Linked DNA regions of Lytechinus pictus. The protein of the gene in region 1 interacts with the protein of each later gene in a pairwise test. Links are inferred from orthologs where the notes say so. Each region holds a gene or a part of one and is shown on either strand. Other genes may lie near its edges.

Region 1 (6,959 bases):
AGAGTGTAAATACGAGTTCGCTGTGATTTCGATCTCATACCTATAAAAAAAAAAATAGAACAGCTACGCCTTGAACACAGGCAAAAATGCCTAACGATTTCTCCGCGGCATTAACAACTCTCGTAAGGGGCGCTCCATTTATAAATAAAGTTGCATATGTAGCTGTCTACCGCGACAGGAACAGCCGCAGAATTGAAGCCAGAAGCGTGGGAAATTGCCAGAAAATTCAAGAAAAGAACCGGTGAGTACCGATTTAACAGTACTAATTTATTAAGTAACATTTATTGAATCATAAGAAGATTTATTTTTTAGTAAAACAAAGCTTAGTTCTAAGCTAGGGCGGCCCAAATGCGCGTGAGTGGAGTCCCAGTTTATTAGCACGGGTAAGTATTGGGGTGTCGCCTAGAGTGACCCTCATCATGCTCATGGCTCATCCTCATCTTCATCATCATCATCTGGTACGGGATGAAGGCGCAAGCCTGTAATTCCCGGTCGTTTCTTGTATGATTGGTCACTGAAAACTACTACTTCATGAGCTTGCGTGAGGAGTCATGGAAGCTCAAAGTGTTTTTTTTGCCAAAAAATATCAATATTTCTTTTAAATTTGTCTGTTGTTGGCATTTGTATTAGGTTTTCAGGAAGACTATTCCAGTCATTGATGACTCTTCTACTGAAAGACTTATTTCTCACATCCAGTTTGCTATGGGATTTCAATAATTTCATGGAGTGACCTCTTGTAGAGTTACTACCAGACTTGGAGAAGAAATGGTCTGGAGAAATGTTGACCAATCCATGCATAATCTGGTGGACCATTATCATATCTCCTCTCCTCCTTCTATAATAGAGTGAGTACATGTTAAGTTCCCTGAGTCTCCTTTCATACGGTACGTTTCTCAAGTCCTTCACTAGTTTTGTTGCTCGTCTCTGTACTCTCTCAACCTTCTTGGCATGTTCTGTAAATCTACCGTTCCAGATGACGCTCCCATATTCCAGATGTGGTCTAATTAATGTCTTGAAGAGAATGGGCAAGGTAGATTTGTTTAGTTGAGTGAAAGTTCTCTTTACGATTCCAAGCAGTTGGTATGCCTTATTAACAGCTAGAGACACATGCTGATGAAATTTCAATTGATTATCAACTGTTACCCCAAGATCCTTTTCAGTAGCTACTGACTTCACTTCTTGTTCCAGCATATAAAATTTTGCTTCTGGATTATTCCTTCCGATGTGTAGAACTTTACATTTACTGCTATTGAAAGGTAACTGCCATTTCGCTGACCATAATTGTAGTCTATCCAGGTCTTCTTGAAGATCTTTGATCTTTGATAAGTCACTCACTATATTGTAAAGTTTGGTGTCGTCGGCAAATAAAGCAACATTACTCTTGTTGACAGCAGATGATAGGTCATTGATAAAGACTAGGAAGAGAATAGGTCCGAGAACACTCCCTTGCGGTATTCCGCTTGATACTGGAGACCATGGAGATAGTTCCCTGTTTACTCGTACACGCTGAACTCTTCCTGTCAAAAATTCTCGCATCCAGATAAGAAGTTGGCCCGTAATTCCGTGTCTCTCTAGTTTACGTAGTAGCCTTTCATGGGGAACACTGTCAAATGCTTTGCGAAAATCTAAGTACAAAACATCGATTGGCTTCCCTTCATCAAGCATCTGCGTCCATTCTTCAAGCACATACAGAAGTTGTGTGGAACATGACCGTCCTGGGATGAATCCATGTTGGTTATAATACAACAATTGATTATTTTGCAAATGATCCACTACAGCATTCCTCACAATCTTTTCCATTAGTTTTCCTGCTATCGATGTAAGACTCACCGGTCTGTAGTTAGAAATCTGTGTTCTAGTTCCTTTCTTGGGAAGAGGAATTACAATTCCCTTTTTCCAGTCAGCTGGAATTTTACCTTCATGCATTGACTTGTTGAATATGATAGATAGTGGTTCTGCAATAACTTCACCCAACTCCTTCAGCACTTTAGGATGGATCCCGTCTGGGCCAGCTGATTTATTCACATTTAAGGTTTTGATCATTTTTGTCACATCTGATGTTTCAAATCCTAACTTTTCCATACAAGGTATATCAGCGTCTACTCCGGTCACATAATCTGGAAAGTTTTGTAAGTCTTCAACAGTAAATACTTCACAAAAGTATTTGTTAAGGACATCTGCCTTTTCCTTATCAGTTTCTACTAGAGATCCATCATCTCTTCTAAGACTTCCTATCTGACTTCTACCTTTAATCTTACTATTTGCGTACCTCCAAAAAGCCTTAGGATTAAAGTTGATACTTTCCACTAGGTCATCTTCAAAGACAAAGTTACGACTGGCTGCTCTTGTTGCCTTTCTTAGCTCATTTCTTGCCTTCTTATATGAATTTAAGTCTGCTTGTTTCTCGTCTTCATTTCTATAAACACTTTTGGTATAGCGTTTCCAGTTTCGTGCTTTTTTCTTAGAAAGTTTCAGGATTGGTTTAGTAATATAGATGTTCCGTCTTTTGTCTTTACTACATTGTCTAACTTATGAAGACTAAGCATCTTGTCTTCTTGAATCCTTGATTATAAATTTTTCTCCTCATTAAAGCTATAGTGAATTGGGATATCAAAACTTAAAATGCAGACTCTGAGTCTAACTTATGAAGACTAAGCAAGTGAGCAAGAGTATAATAATAACAAGTTTATGCTTTCTGAAAAACAATGGCAATGCAACACAAGTTTATTCAGAACACCACACAAAATTGCACGTCTGGGACTGTTCTCATTATTTTGATGGAAATAAATGTTTTCTTTTCATAACGTATGGAAAAAGATTTTTGGTGAATCAGAACGAAAAACATCAACCCAAATATTTGGATAGATAAGCTTACCAAATATATTGTCACATGAAAGTATGAACAGCCATCGCTGGAAACTGGAAAGCGAATCCCCGGAAGCTTTTCGCCCTGCCTATCCCAACATGGCGAAAACAACGCTAAGAGTGCAGCGGCGCCGCGCCGCGCTAAGCGAGCGCGCGGTGTATGTCGCGTCGAGGAACTAGTACAAGTACCGGTATCGAACGTTATAGGGCGCGGCCAATGGGTGTGGTCATCGGACCCCATCGGTCATCATTATTTAGGTATAAAGCAATTGACATTATTATGTACGGCCTGGTACCACAAACCCAATTTTTAAGTCCCTATCCGAGATCCCCTGTGTCTGCATGAAGCGACCACCAAAAAATATAAGAAGAAATCGTCGCATTTTCCTCCCCCCCCCCAAAAAAAAAAATGTATCGGTAGGCCTAGTAATAACTTTTGGATCAAGGGGGGGGGGGGGGTAGGCCTATTATAAAGAATAGGTATCATGCTTGAATCTAGTGCAAATTAAAGGACAAGTCCACCCCAACCAAAAGTTGATTTAATTGAATAAAAAGAGAAAAATCCAACAAGCAAAACACTGAAAATTTCATCAAAATCAGATGTAAAATAAGAAAGTTATGACATTTTAAAGTTTCACTTAGTTTCACAAAACAGTTATATGCACAACCTGTTCGGTATGCAAAAGAGGAGACTGATGACGTCATCCACTCACTATTTCTTTTGTATTTTATTATAATGATATATTCTAATGTTCTCCTCATTGTCAAGTGAAACAACGATTATACAATTCCTCCCTGAACATGTGGAATTAGCAAGGTTCAGTAAACTTGGTCATTATTGTCAAATCTGTGAAAATGAAATATTGTATATAATTATTTTATAATTCAAATAATAAAAACAAAAGAAATAGTGAGTGATAGACATCATCGACTGACTCATTCGCATGACACTGAGTTGTGCATATCACTGTTTTGTGAAATACAAGCGAAACTTTATTAAAATGCCATAACTTTCTTATTTTACATCCGATTTTGATGAAATTTTCAGCGTTATGCTGGTTTATTTTTCTCTATTTATTCTAATCAAAATTTTTCTGGGATGGACTTGACCTTTAAGGACTGGCGCCCAGCGCGGCTGACCTGAAAACCTGTAAACGGGACAATCATGTCTTGAGCACTTTTTGTAACTGAACAGGATGCATACCTCACTAAAGCGCGAGCAGAACCATTTTCTGAACCAACTTAAGAACAGGGTCTAATTAACAATCAAAGAGAGTGTGAAGAGCGATTCTTCCCTGAGCCCCGGCCCCACCCATTTCTTTACTTTTCCATTTGTTCACCCTTTTTACCCATCTCCCTATTTCTGTGACTTATTAGGCCTCGCCATGTGGCCACTTTGGTCCCATGGATTCGCTATGCTGCGATAATACAAAGTCAAGTTCTCAGAAAAGCAAAAGAAAAACAAGCTACAATAAGAAAAATAAATGGATCATTTCACGAATTGAGCACCACCAAAGTGTTGAACTCGAGCTGAGCGACAACTATTTAGGGGGAAAATTCTAAAATCTCATGCATTATAAAGGTTACGTCCACCACTGTGACAGAAAAACGTTGATTTGAATCAAATCAAGCATAACGCTGAAAAAATCATCAAAATCGGATGTAAAATAGTTCGGTCTTTGTTCTTTTATTGGGTTCCTCGTCGAAATAAAATGATCATTATAAAAACGCAAATTCATTCACTAAAATGCCCCTTTTTATAATTATCATTCACCCCATAACAATTATAGGACAAACAAATTGCAGAAATAAATATTGAACAAAACTTTGGGGATTACCGAAACCTAAAAGAGGCGAAAGTGATGGCCATCATCAATATCTTTCCAAATAAACTTTATCTAATTTGATTGAAAAAAAAAAAACAATTTAATTCAATGGCTGATGAAAGAATTTCTGCTTTAGCGCCATCTCTGTTCATTGTGCAACAGCTTGCTCAGCCAGAAATTTCGGTAATAAATTTCTCACTGACTTCAGCGAAATTTCTATCATATCTATGGAAGACAGAAATGAAAACAAAAGTAGATAACTACATTTTACTCATTAATTATTACACTAAGTTCCGACCCTTTTAATTACCCATTGTCCAATGTCTTTACAAGTACATACATGCAGTTTGATTAAATTTTATGTACATATTTTGAAGATCATTTTGTTTCCATGACTGTATTTGTACATGGCTTGCCTGAGACCTTTACGGTATTAATGTTATGCACGATCGTAAAATTTATTGTACATTTTTTGGTTACATGTCAAAGTTGTCAATTTCGGAAAATACATGTATGTGGAAAAGGTATGCCTGAATGAAACAAAATAGACAACCCCCCCCCCAAAAAAAAAAAATAGACAACCCCACAAAAAAAAAATTTCTCAAAGACAGCTATTATTTCCCTCTATTCTCGTCTTAATTTTCTTCTCTTCACTCTTTCTTCCTCCCCTCTTTTCTCCATTTTCTTTTCGTCTCTCTTCCCATTTTTCTTCTCTAACTCTTCCTCTTCCCATTTCGTTTTCTTCACCGTTTCTCGCATCTTATGTTTCAATTTCTCTACTCGGTACAATTCCCACCCTTTTTCTCACTTTTAATTTCCTTCTCATTTCATCTTTTCTTCTCCCCTCTCTCCCTTCTTGTTTTATTCTTCTATTTCATCATTCTAATTTTTCCCTTCGTCCTCTCATTTTTTATCTTTTCTCTGTTTTTCCCATTCTTCTCTCTCGTTCGTTGTTCTCCACTTTTACCTCTTCCTACTCACTTTCCCCCATTTTCTCTTCCACATTATTCCTATTTCTCCTTCCTTCTTGCCCAACATCCTGCTCGCTTCCAACACATCAAAACAATTAACAAATACATGGACACAGGGTAAAACAGATATCGTTTTGTACAATTTATGATTTTTTTTATCATTTTATTTTGTCAGATGTTGTTGTAACACAAAATGTCGACACAATATTACATCCAGCACACAGAGAACCTGTAAGGGCTTTTGGGAGAAATAAATGTACTAAAACATTTCAAAAGTTATACGGTCATTTGCATATTTTGCAATAGGACTATGTAACAGGGTATATATGTGGATAACTGCGTGCAGGGCATAGGGATTTTGGTTAATACCATACAGAATCAAAATTGGCATCAAATATATTAATTCTGGAATGTAAAATTACAACTAGGTAAAAGGAGTTATATATCAAACAATTTCAAACTTAAAAGACAAATGTGGGAAAATTGGTTTTCATTAAAAGTATTTTTTTTCTGTTGAGATTTCTGTGTTGAACTAGTGCAGTTTAACGCCTACAAATATTTATATAAAGACGGACTGGTCAGTTCAATAACATTAAAAAAAGCATAATTTATACTCTTGTCTAGTATACAATTATGCACTTTATTTATGTCACTGTTAATTTATGCATGCCAATCTATAACTTTAGCAAGATAAAAAAAAATCCAGAACCATACATATATTTTGTGCAGTATTATACATGCTTTTTAAGTTAAATAATAATTTTGACAGATAATGAATGAATTTCAATGGAATGATATAATCTCTTTACAGTAATACAATGCAGTCCCTGTTTTGGGTATATAAATAAGATTACAGTAATGGAATTTATCATTTCTTGATTAAATACATTTTTTTTTTGGTTTTCCTTTTACCCCTTATATCACTGGGGATTCATAAAAGTCACTGTGCCTGGAGTAGAAACAAAGAGTCATTTATATCTCTTTTTTTTTCAAAAATGAAATGCATAAAAATGTTCCAACCTTCAAAATAAACAATTTCATTCCATAAGTTATATATGAACAACAATAGATTACTCTCTTCATGTACAATACACAAATGAACAAAGCGTATATACCGACATTATATGCCATGTACAATAAAAATACAACAGTAACACTATCATGAAATATATCGGTCATTTTTTCCATCTCGGACCCCCCCCCCCCCCCCCCCATTTGCAAGGTGCTACATAACATAGAACCCCAACTACAATTAACCGGAATAGCAGCAAGTTTAGCGCTCGATACATATCCCATA
Region 2 (6,963 bases), on another chromosome or scaffold:
CCTAAAAAAACCATCAGATTTTTTATTAGACGTCTTCCGGCATGCTGCAGGACTCTAACCCACGCACGTTGAGATCTACGATCTTATCCGGAACAGGCGCTCTAACCGACTGAGCTACGCTACGCTGCCTCCCTTGGTGCTGAAATTTCACATTTTACATCTTTTTTTTCATGAAATAGGCATCTATTTTCCATAATTCCTTGAAATTATTTTGATTAAGTTGGAAACTACTGAAGAAATTAAGAATATTCACCTCTTTCCTGACTCTGATTTGATGTTAAACTCTGTAAATATTGTAGTCCCATATGTAGATTTTCATGGTGTTGACCAAGTGTAAATCGATCAATAACGATCTAACGATCATTTTCAGTTAATGTTGCAACACCATGGAAGTCTACATGTGGGACTACAATATTTACCGATTGTAACATCATCAATCAGTTTAAAAAACTCTTCTTGGAGTATTTCGGAGGAACATCATACCAAGTACCAAGAATTAAGAAAGAGCTGAATATTCTTCATTTAGTTTTCAACTAAATCAAAATAATTTCAAGGAATTAAGGAAAATAGATGGCGATTTTATGGATTTAAAGATGTAAAATGTGAAATTTTCGAAATTTTTGTACAGTATTTTTTGTAAAAAGTTTTTTTTTTTTAAATGCAGGAGTGTGATATTTTACACGACAAATCGTCCATAGACTGTGTACAACGGATAGATCGTCTCTGCACAGCAATTCGGAGACTGCTGATTGGTCAATCGTGCAGATCAGGTCATGACTACGTGGTTGCCAAAATAATTCCATCGGACTGCGTGCAGAAGTATCGATAGCGATAACGATATCCGGTCACCTTGTGTACGCGGGAAATGGTCGTGATCGCTCCGGCATCGATCGAAAATTATCGAAACTGCAATTTCATGCATATTCACGCGACGCTCCGAAACCGGGAAGCCAATTGACTTTGTGCACGTTGCGATAGACTACAAATTCCAATGAACACGATGCCATACCGACGCTAATTCGTAAGATTTTGACAGAAAAGCAAGAAGTAATCGAAATTCGCTTACCTGTGCGGTATCGGTGAGAAAATATAACCTCCGAGAAACCCTTTCATAATTCATATAAAATATAAGTGAAATTATTTCTAGGTCGATTTAGGTACGAGGTGATAGAGAATTGCACACTTGTTTTGGTGGAATACTGTGTGGGGAAATGGAAGGCTTGCACTACGCTAGACCAAAAGCTTCAGTCTCTGTATTTTGGTTGTTCCGCTGAACTATGTTGGCTCCACTCACCATACATAGACTGAAGGGGATGGGGCCCCGTACCTACAGCCAACGTATAGTGAACTAGCGTTTTATAGATCGCGATTTAAAACTGTTTTTTAAGCAAAATTGAAAGTTTCATGGTTTCCATTATCAGGGAAATATAAATAACTTAAGTAATTGCATACCTTGGGCCGGAGTTATTGAAAAAAATCCTCTGGATGATTGAGAAATCTGTCATCTAAGACATTTTCACCTGACCTGACGGTTTTTCTTGCAAGTTGCCATCTTGAATGACGTCATTATCGTTATTAACTTAATGTCTCGAATCGATATATCGCGATTATAACTAGTACTAGTACTAGTATAACTAGTATCGTTTATCTTCGGTTTCGTTCGCATATGGAGCAGATCGTATAATATCGAAAGCAATATCGATATCACATTCGTGATTGTTGACGTTCGTTTGTAAATATTTTATAGTTTGGCTGCCATTTTGACCATTTTTTTCGTGTTCAACCCAATTAAACATCGGTAAAGTATATTTTTCATGCCTTTTTCATCTATATCGTTTAAAGTATTTAAACATTGAAATATTAATTTTTAAAAGTTTGTTGTTTATACATCCTTAGATTGTAAATTCGATGTGTAAAATTACATCAAACTTTGGACTGTGAATTGACAAAAGGGAGGGAATGAGAACACATGCGAGCCCACACGTACACCCTTCCGTCGGTAAATGGGGATTACAGTAAAATGTCAGAAATTGTTGAATAAATCCCCAGAAACGACGGTTATTCCTGTCTAGCACTACGCATGCTTACTATATTTTCATTCATAAATTGGCTCTCGGCAATGGCTGGATGACGTCATGTAATAAGCAAATGTACACGACCGCTAGCGTTGAATAAACGTATTGACCCTGGCCTGGCCAGGCCTTGTTTCACCACAGAATAGGCCTACAGACACATCTATAGGATAGTAAATTAGTATAGCATTTACAATTTTAAGAAAAATCTACAATTTATCATAAGATTCATATATATATTGTATTGAATAGATTTGAGCTCCTCAAGAAGAGCGATTCTGAGAAGCTCAATTAAGCTGCTGGAAAAATAAGGAGAGCGATTTATTGAGCCCCACGAAATAAACGTGAAGCTGAACTTGAACTTGAAGGACTGATTTCATGATTTCACATGATATTATCGAGATGGAGATTATCTAGTCTACATTGGCTTGCAAATTACATACTAGTAGGGCCTATTCAACAAGCATTGATGCAAATTTCATTTTGTGAAAAAATATTTTGGAACAAAAATATTGTAAGTATAGAATCGTACGTCTAGTGTGCTAAAACGGTGATTTTACTTCTGTGTTATTCGAACGCAACCATCAAGGAATCGTGCTTACACCAATTCCCTTGTGTGCATCATATATTGCATACGGTGGTAATATGAGTGGCCCACTGTTATTCGTACCTTTTTGATGTTGTATAATCTTGCGAGCATTCCTGTGCCACGATCATTGAGAATTGAGAGTTTTTCAGCCAGCTTGAGCTGGCCTTGAGATACAGGCATCCTGCTGGACATATCAGACAGTAATCAACGACATCTAGACTCTAATTAAAGCTGCAATAAAGGGCATTCGATACAGGTTTAGCATTCAAGGTGCGGCCTTGTCGCAAAATTAGGGAACTCAGCCGCTCGTTAATGCAAACCAGGAAGAAAGTCCATCAAAACAATTTACAAACTTTATTAAAGGCTTTTTTATATAAATAAGATTTTTTTTTACTTCCACTTTTTCGAATAAAAATAATTGATATTAATAGAATTTATTATTTTACATCACTTAGATTATAAATATATATTTTGATACACATAAATATATTATTTTTTTAATGTAAGCCGGCAATATCATCTTATGCATATCGTGAACCATATAGAATTTCAGCACGTGAATGCGGAAGGAAAATCAATAAACATGCGTGGCGCGCCTAATGCCCCCCCCCCCCTAGACATATGGACTGTTTTTTCTATCAAGGTATTTTTTCCATACAGGGTCATAAATGTCAACTAGTGAACGTAACTTTTTTTTATTAAAGAAATAGTTCGTGGTTGATAAACTTATTTTACCGCAAAGGAATTTTCCGAGTCTCGATGGGATAAACAGTTTTTTTTTTTAATAAACAATTTTTTTTTTCAAGTGATCGAGCGTTTTTACTCGAAAACAGATGTGCATCAGGAGGGGGTGAGAGTGGGCGGGGAAGGAGAAAAATGTTATCCATATTTTTCTGCAAAAGCCGGGCTGCTGGAAGAGCTAATTGGTGGGGATGGGGGTCGGAACGGGGGTCCAGAATCAAAGATTGAAGTAATTTCTTGGCGTTATTTTTCAGTACAAATTATAACAATTTAGGTATGAAGCACGACCCATTTTTTTCATACTGAATTGAACAGGGAAGTTTTAATGCCGTTTGAATTCATCATACAAAAAAAGTATATCCATAAGTTTAAGTATCTCACTATAAATACTAAATGCATGTGAGCTAAATTTTCTTTTTAGTGTACTGACCTAAAAAACGAAAGTTTTATGCAATATGACATTTTATAATCATGAACAGGACACATAATATAATGTGAGCTCATGAAGCCAAGCTGATCGAACCATCGATCAGAGAGTTCTCACTGGCCCCAGAAACATATTAGGCATTATTTAGCACAAGGAAATCATATGGCATAGGCCTATTCTGGACCGCGGAATGAGAGGGATTAGCCTTCCGTTGTTTAATCCAGTTTAAATATAGGAGTATACGGTGTCCATTTATGTGATTGTGATTGCAGCATATTGCCCCTCCAGGTTTTCGTTACACAATCTATGACCATGCTGTCTCATAAAACAATCATTTCTTTTCACCCAATTATCCAAATACAAAACAGCAGCTTCATTCCTTAGCTATATATAACAAAATAATTTCACTAGAAAAAATAAATTATTTAGAAAACTAATGTCAATCGAATGAAAAACCATGCATTTTCATCAAGAAAACGCTGCATGTTTATCCCGATGTTTATCAAAAATATATTTTTTTATTTCCTAGTATTAAACTTGCATTATAAAAAAAAAAACTATAAAGAATGTATCCCTCCCCCCGAAAAGCTGGGTTTGACTTTTATATACACAACCATACAAAATCTGTAGTCTGATATCTGCGGGACGTACAAAAGGAATTATCGTCCGATTCGTGGGTCCCCATCCGACGAGGCGCAACACCGAGGGGGGGGGGGGGGGCAGGGGAACGTACAGTATATATCCACATAATAATTTTCTTCATGTCAAACAATGATCGAAACTTTCATTTTCGGGTCAGTATAATATGTAGTGAGATAGAGATAGAGAACCTATTACAAACAAGTGGTTATATAAATACTCCGTTTTCCGGTCTGGATACAAAACAAATGTTCAGTTTGCGCTTCGCGCTCGCAATATATGATCGAATCGTGAGGTGTTTGATCCTCTAAACTAATAGCAAGAAACCGGCAAGAAACAGTCCTTGACATTTTCCTTTTTTACATATCAGTATATCAAAGATTTTAGCTCACCGGTTATCGCGCTGGCTTAATTGCTTTAATGTGCGTTCGATTAAAAAAAATATATATTTTGTAGGCATTCCCCGAAGTTCTCCGCCAGGAAGTGTTACTCGCTGCTCAGTGATGGTGGCGTAGTGCAGAAAGTTTGAAGGAGCTAGGTATGGCGTACCGCGTAAGAAGTTGAGAGTGATATATTACAAAAATCTAATATTGTCATAGATATTGACATAATATTCAGGAAATGATATCATATCTCACCTTTCTCTCTTTCCCTTTTATCAATCCCCTTCTCTTCTTTTTTTACTAGGTCATGATTTTTTTTTGGAGGGGGGGGGGGGGCAAGCACCCCCAATTAAGGCCTCCCCTGCGATAGGCCTATTAGGCCTACGACATCGAGAGGAATCATATATATTGTAAACCATGAACGGAGTTTTATTTGTAAATGATTATAAAAAGATACTGAAGACTGTCTATCATAATATCATACAATATTAAACATTCATGCATCCCCCGTTATGTTCTAATCTTCAAACTCTAGCCTCAGTCCGGCTTACTTGGCCTCGCTTTCTTAAAAACCTTTTGATGACTCCATGACTTAATTGCGACAATTTCTCACAGGAACAACATGATAATCTAAACCTCAAACATATCACCCTAGCTATAAATCCAAATAAACATTTTTTCTGAAACAAATCAATTTCTATCAAAGTAAAGATTTAGCGGGGTCGAGCATATACCAGGTGTCAAAGTAGTAATACAGTACTAGGCGAGATCTATGCAAACTATTTTCGAATTAAAATTTTGAAGGGATTTTTATAATTTATATCAGGATAGGAATGCTAATTACAGTGTCCCTTTCCAGTTTTATTGCAGGGCAATTGCTTTCATTAAGTTCTCTTTATTCTTGCCATAACATAGTTTGAAAGAGATCAGAGTATTATTTTTGAAAATGATATCATCTCTCGTAAAAAGGCTCACCTCATATTATATTCTAACGTCTTCGATTCTTTTAAATGACAATGATAACGGTGACTGAGAATATTGATAATCATGATATCGATAGTATCATTAGGCGTGTCATTGGTCTTTTGTCAAATTTGATTACCATTTAACAATGTTTTCAACTAAGAAAAGTAAATTCTCAATTGTGAAATTATAACTTCATTTTTTCATGCCTTATACATATCCACATTATAACATATAAAAAGTCAGAAGAAATTTGAGGGGTGAAGTAAACAGTCGGCCTAATCTTATATAAAAATAAAGAAATATTTCTTCCCCGAGCTCTATACGAGGAATGACAAGGACATATTTGCAAGCCTTTTGCAAAACCATATATCAACTTTTCTTCCATTTGTTTGTTTCTTGTTTTTTTGTGTGACAGAGAATTTTTTTTTATTAATTTGCCAAAAGAGCAGAAATAATATATACACAACAAAAAAAAGTATGTCCCCCCTAAATCAAATTGCTGTAACTTTTGAACGGAATTATTTTGAGATATGATATTCCGTAGGTGGTTTTCTACACTCATTAAGCAACTCCCGGAGAAAAATAAGATTGATCGGTTGAGTCATGCATGAGTAATTAAAGATTGAATTAAAAATGACCATTTTTGAAAGTCACAAGAGTCGTTTTTCAGATTGTGCACATACAAAGTTGGGCAAATGTTGTCTTTAAGTGAATTTTATGGTGTTATGCTGCTTTACTATCCATCATTTAGCCACTCCACACACAATTTTGATATCATATATTCATGGTTGAGTGAGCACAATATATTGCAGGGGCCTCAGAAGCGGGGGGGGGGGCTGGGCGGGGAGCTTCATCCCCCCACTTTTTTCCAAAAGCATGTACAAAAATGTAAAAATGACCATACGATTGTGATTTTTTGCATGGTCAGCCCCCCCCCCCCCCCCACTTTGAAAACCCTTCCCCGGCCCCTGTATTGTAACGTATCATCATAGGGGTTTATGGTTGTATCTTCTACAACTTGTTAGATCATGTTAAAATTTGAAAATGTTGGTGGCTCCCCCGATTATAGGCCCCTCCCCCCATTTTAAAATTCTGGACCCATCACTGATTTGTCCATAAATTAACCTGATCATGAGAAATTGTTAG

The links. The genes of interacting proteins can lie anywhere in the genome.
Region 2: the proteins of cytoplasmic FMR1-interacting protein 1 homolog (region 1) and nck-associated protein 1-like interact in binary tests that used the Caenorhabditis elegans proteins (3 or more experiments, as listed by UniProt). The link is inferred for Lytechinus pictus from reciprocal best matches to the Caenorhabditis elegans genes gex-2 and gex-3.

What each region holds. Positions count from the first base shown.
Region 1 is NC_087249.1:49,436,609-49,443,567, forward strand, and holds the start of cytoplasmic FMR1-interacting protein 1 homolog, read right to left. Parts: upstream 3,024-6,959; 5' UTR 2,876-3,023; intron 1-2,875. UniProt on the Caenorhabditis elegans protein: Required for initial steps of body morphogenesis. May play a role in egg laying and yolk protein clatherin-mediated endocytosis by oocytes during oogenesis.
Region 2 is NW_026974140.1:15,023,821-15,030,783, forward strand, and holds the start of nck-associated protein 1-like, read right to left. Parts: upstream 3,003-6,963; 5' UTR 2,854-3,002; coding exon 2,743-2,853; intron 1-2,742. UniProt on the Caenorhabditis elegans protein: Rac effector required for tissue morphogenesis, cell migrations and egg laying. May play a role in egg laying and in yolk protein clatherin-mediated endocytosis by oocytes during oogenesis.